Linked DNA regions of Canis lupus familiaris. The protein of the gene in region 1 purifies or fractionates together with the protein of each later gene. This does not show direct contact. Links are inferred from orthologs where the notes say so. Each region holds a gene or a part of one and is shown on either strand. Other genes may lie near its edges.

Region 1 (3,650 bases):
AGATATAGAACAAATCTGTCACAGCAGGAAGTTCTACTAGATAGCACTACTCAAGAGTAAACATTTTTGCTTCATTCATTGACTACATCTGATTTTTCAAATCATTCTAATAGGGCACCTGAGTGGCTCACAGTCAGTTGAGTGTCTGCCTTTGGCTTAAGTCATGATCCCAGAATCCTAGGATCAAGTCCTGCATCAGGCTCCCTCCTCAGTGGGGAGTCTGCTTCTGTCTCTCAAGTAAATAAATAATCATTCAAATAATTCATAAGCAAATTGTTATAAAAATTTGAAGCAGCATGTGGGTGGGTGGGTCAGCCAGTTAAGTGTCTACATTCCAGTTGAGTTATGATCCCAGGGTCCTAGGATCGAGCCCCACATCTGGCTACTTGCTCAGCTGGGAGTCTGCTGCTCCCCTTACCTGTGCACTCACTCTCTTACTCGCTCTCTCTCAAATATATATTTTTAAAAATGTAAATATACAGTGCACCTGGGTGGCTCAGTCAGTGAAATGTCTGCCTTTTGCTCAGGTCATGATCCCAGAGTCCTGGGATTGAGTCCTGCATCAGGCACCCTGCTCAGAGGGGAGCCTGATTCTCCCTCTCCCACTCCCCCCTGCTTGTGTGTGCTCTCTGTCAAATAAATAAAATCTTCAGAAAAGTGTAAAAATTCTGTAGACCACCACCTGTCACAGTACTTTATCCTCAGGTAAGCACTGTCACCTATTTGTTGTCACCTGTCTTTCTGGACCATTTAGTACTTTTGTATATATAGCTATATATGGTTTTCAGTTGTAATTAGTAATAGTTCTGTGATAACGTTTTCAGTAGCTATAACGTTTGCATGTAGTTATAATACATGCAAATAAAATGCCTTAATGAAAAAAAAGTAGCTTAATTATTGATTTCTTGGAAATTCTTATGTGTAAGTTTCTTATACTCATTTAGAGCTTTTCTCATCCATAGGTGATGCTGGGAGCAGAACTCCCAAAGACCAGAAGGTGAGTTGGGACGGGGAAGGTAAAGATGACAGGTAAGAATAAGAAGATGGGAGAAACTTCTGGCCTGACCGTTCTGTCAGTTCAGACATCAACATAATCACGCACTCTATAATCAGCCCTGTGGGCTCTAGTCCTCTTACAGCTGTTCTAAGGATGCAGCAGAGGTTACATAGATGCATGCCCTGAGTGATGTATGAATGTAGAATTTGGCAGTGACCAGCTAGGTGAGGTTAATCAAGAGAATTTCCCTAAAGCTGATTTCTGAACCAGATTTCTAAGGAAGGGCAGTTTTCTGGGACACCTGAGTGGCTCAGTGGTTGAGCATCCGCCTTGGGCTTGGGGCGTGATCTTGGAGTCCCAGGATCAAGTACCACATCGGGCTCTCCCCACAGGAAGCCTGCTTCTCCCTCTGCCTCTGCCTCTGCCTTTCTGTGTCTCTCATAAATGAATAAATAAAATCTTAAAAAAAATAAGGAAGGGCAGTTTTGCCTGATAAAATAACCATAACTTCTCAACCATAACCCATTCTATTTTGTTTTTTGAAAGACAAGTTCTTATTCTCAAGTCTAACGTGCTATTTTATTTTATTAAAAAAAAAATTTTTTAACATTTTATGTATCCATTCATGAGAGACAGAGAGAGAGAGAGACACAGGCAGAGGGAGAAGCAGGCTCCATGCAGGGAGCCCGATGTGGGACTCGAACCTGGGACTCCAGGATCACGCCCTGGGCCGAAGACAGGCACCAAACCGCTGAGCCACCCAGGTGATCACCTAACATGGTATTTAAAAACTTGTTTCCCTCATCACCTTCCTTACAGCTCCGTGAAGCTATGGCTGCCTTAAGAAAGTCAGCTCAGGATGTCCAGAAGTTCATGGATGCTGTCAACAAGAAGAGCAGTTCCCAGGATCTACATAAAGGTTAGGGTCTGGAGGTACCTCGCTCGGTATAGGTGGTGGGAATGGGGGAGTGAATTCCTACAGAGATTTCATGGGTAACTGGCTTTGTTTTAGCGTCTCAGAATCCTCATCCACCTCCGTTGGGTCCTTTAAATACAGGTTTTCCTTGTCTGCTTAAGTCTTTTGTCTGCTGATTTTCAAATGTGTAGTGGCTTTATTATTTTTTTTTAATTTTTATTTATTTATGATAGTCATACAAAGAGAAAGAGAGGCAGAGACATAGGCAGAGGGAGAAGCAGGCTCCATGCCCCGGGAGCCCGACATGGGATTCGATCCCAGGTCTCCAGGATCACGCCCTGGGCCAAAGGCAGGCGCCAAACCGCTGCGCCACCCAGGGATCCCTGTAGTGGCTTTAAATACATTTTTAGGGGGCAGCCCTGGTGGCGCAGCGGTTTAGCACTGCCTGCAGCCTGGGGTGTGATCCTGGTGACCCAGGATTGAGTCCCACGTCGGGCTTCCTGTATGGAGCCTGCTTCTCCCTCTGCCTGTGTCTCTGCCTCTCTCTTCGCTCTCTGAATGAATAAATAAATCTTTAAAAAAAATAGATACATACATACATACATACATACATACATTTTTAGGGACGCGAGGGTGGCTCAGCGGTTAAGCGTCTGCCTTCGGTTCAGGGCATGATCCAGGAGTCCCGGGATCAAGTCCCCGTCAGGCTTCCTGCATGGAGCCTGCTTCTCCCTCTGCCTATGTCTCTGCCTCTCTCTGTGTGTGTCTCTCATGAATAAATAAATAAATAAAATCTTAAATAAATAAAATACATTTTTAGCTTCGTGCTCATGATTACTTCTAGATGGAGATTAGGGGGATCCCTGGGTGGCACAGCGGTTTAGCGCCTGCCTTTGGCCCAGGGCGCGATCCTGGAGACCCGGGATCGAATCCCACGTCGGGCTCCCGGTGCATGGAGCCTGCTTCTCCCTCTGCCTGTGTCTCTGCCTCTCTCTCTCTCTCTCTCTCTCACTGTGTGCCTATCATAAATAAATAAAAAATTTAAAAAATTAAAAAAAAAAATAGATGGAGATTAGAAGAGAGCAACTCAAACTCTTACACAGAGGTCTGAGGGAAGCTTTGTCAAATCAAGCTGTTAATAAATCCTCTACTGGAAAATGTTTTATAAGTGCTACTTAGCATTTAATGAGTATAATTAATATTGTTAATAAGGAGTTGAGAACACTTGGTTAAAGTGAGTGTTCTTAAATTACATGTGAATTTCAATTATGCAGGTTTTTCCTGTTAGCATAAATAGCTAAGTCAGCTCTGTTTTTTTGTTTCTGCCCAGGAGAGCAGCGAAAGTGACTAAGAATCAATGAATATCCCCTTTCCCCAGTTACCATATTGTACCTTCTTTACGTTTCTATTTACTATCCCCAATCTATGCCATATCTTTTTAGAATTTTTTTCCTTTCTTCTGTAGGAACCTTGAGTCAGATGTCTGGAGAACTGAGCAAAGATGGTGACCTGATAGTCAGCATGCGCATCCTGGGCAAGAAGAGAACAAAGACATGGCACAAAGGCACTCTTATTGCCATCCAGACGGTTGGTATGTTCAGGCTAGAAGAGCTAATGAAAGGCAACCTACAGGTCTCCATTGCTGATCGATCATTTCTTTTTCCCATAGCTTTGCCTTTTATCTCTCATGTAGCAGTCAGGATTTACACAGAAGCTGATGGTTTTAAAATTTTTTGT
Region 2 (4,090 bases), on another chromosome or scaffold:
ATTAGCATGTGGAGTATTTCATGGTTCTTTTCAGAAACATGATGTAAGCTGATTCTCAGCATATCCTTGCCAAAGAAACGGCAATTTTTTCCCATTTTAAGGATTAGAAAGCAAAAGTCAGAACATAGAATGAGTTCACCAATATAAGAAGTAGTAAAAGCAATTCAAATTTAGATTTGAACTCAGTTGGTTTCTCTCCACTAACTTCAACATTTTCTTTAAGGTTCATGCTTAAAGAAATGGCTCAGAAAAAAAGGACAAATAGGGAGTACAAATAGCGACAAAACAGTAACATTAAACCTTAATTATCCAGCTCCCAGATTTATTATGCCTTCAATTATGCAGCCTAATAGCTAATCTGGAATTCAGCACAGACAAATTGAAAACTGTCATCAGTCCCAAAAGTAATAATCCCAGTGAGGTCTAGTTTATGCTTATAGTTGCAAAAATGCAACACAGCCCTGAAAGAATTAGCAATAATAACCTAAGTAACCACTTTGTATTTTCCCATGTATAAGCAATAATCAATGGAGTCATCTTGTGGACGTTGAAGGTAAATTTTATAATCCAGGATAGAAGGCAAAAAGAGCAGATCATTAAAATTTCCCCAAGGTCCTACTTTGAAGATCAACATAAACTGCTTTGATAATTTCAACCTAACCAGTTTTTCTCCAGTAATGAAGAACAAACTGAATATCTGGCTTGAATTGTATAAAATATCTGAATACAGTGAGCGGTTCAAACTATGAGAGGTATGAAAATGACCATGATTAAGGACATAGCACATTCACTTCCTATGTCATATTCACTCTAGGGCAAAACCTTACTGAAAGGCATGATGGATAAAATCTCTCTCACAACACTAAATTTGTTGTTCTATTCTTTTGGGGGCAACCTCATATTACTGGATTTATATAATGTAATGTTCATATTATTATAATCTATTATATCACATAAAAGACTCCTAACAATTTCAAAGAGTAGTAAGTAAATGAAGTGAAATATACTAAATTTGTTGATGAAACTGAATCAGTGACCCCAAATATATTTGAAGCCAAAGAATAAATGACCAATGATTAAGAAAAAAATTTGTCAAAAAAAGAAAAAATATAAATGCAATTTTGTGGCAAGACAGCAATTTCAAACTGTTAACTTGTGTAAATATAGATCTTATATTTTACCGTCATGAAATTTAAAAAGAACATACAGAATATAGGTTCTAGAATACTTCTCAAAATGAATTCTACAGTCTCTTAGCAACTAAAGTTCTACAAATAAGCAACCTAATAAATAAGCAACCTCCTGACACTAATGAAAGATTATAATTGTGATAAATAATCTGGTTTCAAACTTTTGTTTTCATTGTAAAAGCCTAATTGTTCTTTTATAAAATAAACTTAGAGTAATACTATACTTTTAAATTGGAAAATAAATACAAACCAATAAAATATCATATGTATCACTTTTAAATACAGGGGTCAATCACAAGAATTTAATGTGCAAGAAGTTGTTTTCTAAAGTTGCAGTACTTAGAAAGTTCAAAACTTACTGTTCTATGTCATATTAGTCAGGGATATATTCATATATCCCTTGACAAAACTAAAGAATTGTACTATACCATTTATTTAAAAATTTTAGTAAGTACCACAATTTAAACACTAGAGTTTAAAATTTCTGCTATCTGAAATATTATGTAAATAAAAATTTCATTCTTCTTACCCTCTGGGTCACTATTGACTTACCATATCTCAATAAATGTTTCCACTTCAGAAGAATGTTAAAGTCTTTTGAAAACTGTGAAACTAAATTTACAAAATCATTGAATTACATTATTTTTAAATATACCACAGGTTTTAACTAAGACTAAAGTGGATATCAACAATTAATATTAACCTAAAACAACTGAGTATTTATTTAAGCTCTCTTGCACTAGAATACATTAGCTAGAAAGAAAAGGAGTATGCAGACCTACATATGAACTTGTTTCTAATTCAAAATCTGAATGACAGAAAAATAAATTTATTATTTAAAAAAAATCTGAATGACAATTTAAGGAAAAAGTAATTAGAATAAAAAGTTAGGACCCTTAAAAATGTGAAAGAATTAAATGGCCAAGAGGAGGCAGCATAATGAGAAAGAATTAGAACCCAGAGTACAAAAAAAATCTGTTAAAATTTTTTTTTCTTTCTGTGCTATGACTTATATTCAGAGAATTAACATTCTTCCCAGAAAGCTACCAAACAATAGCTCCAACACACACACACACACACACACACACACACACACACACAGAAATCTCACTCTTCATGCGAAACAAGGCTTATTTATGGCTTCTTTCCCAAAAAAAATCTATTCAGCAAATACATTGTTTTCAATTTCTACAAAAAAAAAAAAAAAATATATCAAACAAACTAAAATATCCAACACAAAAAAAATATTAAGTTATTTAAGGTCAGAAAACACTATTGTGGTGATCAAATGTTCTGACAATGACAGAACATAAAATGGTGAGAAATTACAGGAATTTAACCTTTGACCTCACCATCCTAAGTACTGTTTCCCTAAAAGAAGCTTAAAGCAAACATTTCAACTTCCTAGCAAGCAAGCTCTAAGTTCACCTTGCTATGTAAACTCAGTAAAATTCAAGTATTCTTTAATTAAAATGGTCAAAGATAAAGAGTAATTGGTTCTTACCTCTGGTCCTGATGCATGTGCCAAGTCTCCTCACTGGCATAGTTGCTGCCTAAGCAGCTACAAAGACCAGGTCAGCAGCCATTTTGAGACAGCTGCACTGTCTCAGTTGCACTAAAGTGTAATTAAGATGGCTGCAATGTGCACTCAAGAACTCACACAGTGAAAACTCAGCTATGTATCAAACAAAGCCCCTCCCACTTTGTCAGTCTGCAGGAAACTGAACACTGACAACAGCTAATGCATATACTGCAACAAACAATGCAGCTGCCTAGGACACAGAAAACAGAGAAGGCAGCAAGCCAGTTTTGTAACACAATGCCTGTGAATCCGGACTTGCAATACAGACTTTGGGCACATCCAGATCCCAGACAGCCTGAAATCCATGCCACATATTAGCAGTTACAGAGATAGAGCCAAATCACACACAGCAAACATCAGGGAATACGCTTGAAAGAAAGCCTCCATTTCAGTCCAGAAAAAAAAAAAAAAAAAAAAAGTCTGCTCAAGGCCTTTTTTTTTTGTCTTTTATAGTACTTTTATCATGAAAAGAGTGCCAATTTTTATAGTTTCTGGAAAATTAAATTGTTTAAATCCTGATAGTCAATTTCTACTTATAGAAGGCTAATTAAAGATTTTTTTTCCACCACAGAGTCTAAGCCCCCAAGTACTGAAATCTAGCAGAATGGTTAAAGCTTGCAGTCAAATTTTTGAATCTTGACAATAATTTTAAATAACTGCAGGGAAGAGACTAGAGTCATTACAGCTATACTGGCAACAAAGCTTATTTTGAGGAATCTGCCCTAAAGATAAAATAATTTCTTCGCTTTTGTAGTCCAGATAGCCACAAAGATAACTCCAGGTGAGTGTTTGGTCCCAGGGCAAATTAAATTTCATTCCCTGCTTCAGACCTCCCAACATTTTAATATGAGGGGAAAACAAGGAATGTAGGCACCCCGGGGGATAAAAACCAAAAAGGGAGAACAGTAGACTAAAATTCAATATGAAAGTGAGTATACTAACAAGACAAATTTGAGAGAGATCCCAACATATCTGGTCTTGGAAGTAACCTACCCATCAAGAGAAGAGAAAGACAAGAGCACAGAAAGGAACTGTTTGCTTGGTAGCTCATATCATCTAAGAAATCTACCTTCTCCTTTTTTCCTTGGTTTACCCTTCTTAAGATCTAGCTGCCCTATGTGATTTTGAGTCTATCCATCACATGATATAGATATTTACTAAAATTCATTAAGGGTATAGGAAAGTGGTAGGCATACAGCTTAAAGGAGATTAGCACAAATTGATAACTGTTCAAGCTGAGTGATGGGCACATGGAGTTATTTCATTCTATTTCTGTATATATTTAAAATTTAACATAATAAAATTCAAAAATAAGACA

Evidence for each region.
Region 2: the proteins of SETDB1 (region 1) and ATF7IP purify together in Homo sapiens (affinity purification with mass spectrometry; 6 studies listed by BioGRID and IntAct, counting the BioPlex papers as one, with this or other methods). This does not show direct contact. The link is inferred for Canis lupus familiaris from reciprocal best matches to the Homo sapiens genes SETDB1 and ATF7IP.

What each region holds. Positions count from the first base shown.
Region 1 is NC_049238.1:60,704,470-60,708,119, forward strand, and holds part of SETDB1 (histone-lysine N-methyltransferase SETDB1), read left to right. Parts: intron 1-962; coding exon 963-997; intron 998-1,816; coding exon 1,817-1,916; intron 1,917-3,378; coding exon 3,379-3,504; intron 3,505-3,650. UniProt on the Homo sapiens protein: Histone methyltransferase that specifically trimethylates 'Lys-9' of histone H3. H3 'Lys-9' trimethylation represents a specific tag for epigenetic transcriptional repression by recruiting HP1 (CBX1, CBX3 and/or CBX5) proteins to methylated histones.
Region 2 is NC_049248.1:14,001,847-14,005,936, reverse strand, and holds the start of ATF7IP (activating transcription factor 7-interacting protein 1), read right to left. Parts: upstream 2,949-4,090; 5' UTR 2,712-2,948; coding exon 2,695-2,711; intron 1,803-2,694; exon of another isoform or gene 1,743-1,802; intron 1-1,742. UniProt on the Homo sapiens protein: Recruiter that couples transcriptional factors to general transcription apparatus and thereby modulates transcription regulation and chromatin formation. Can both act as an activator or a repressor depending on the context.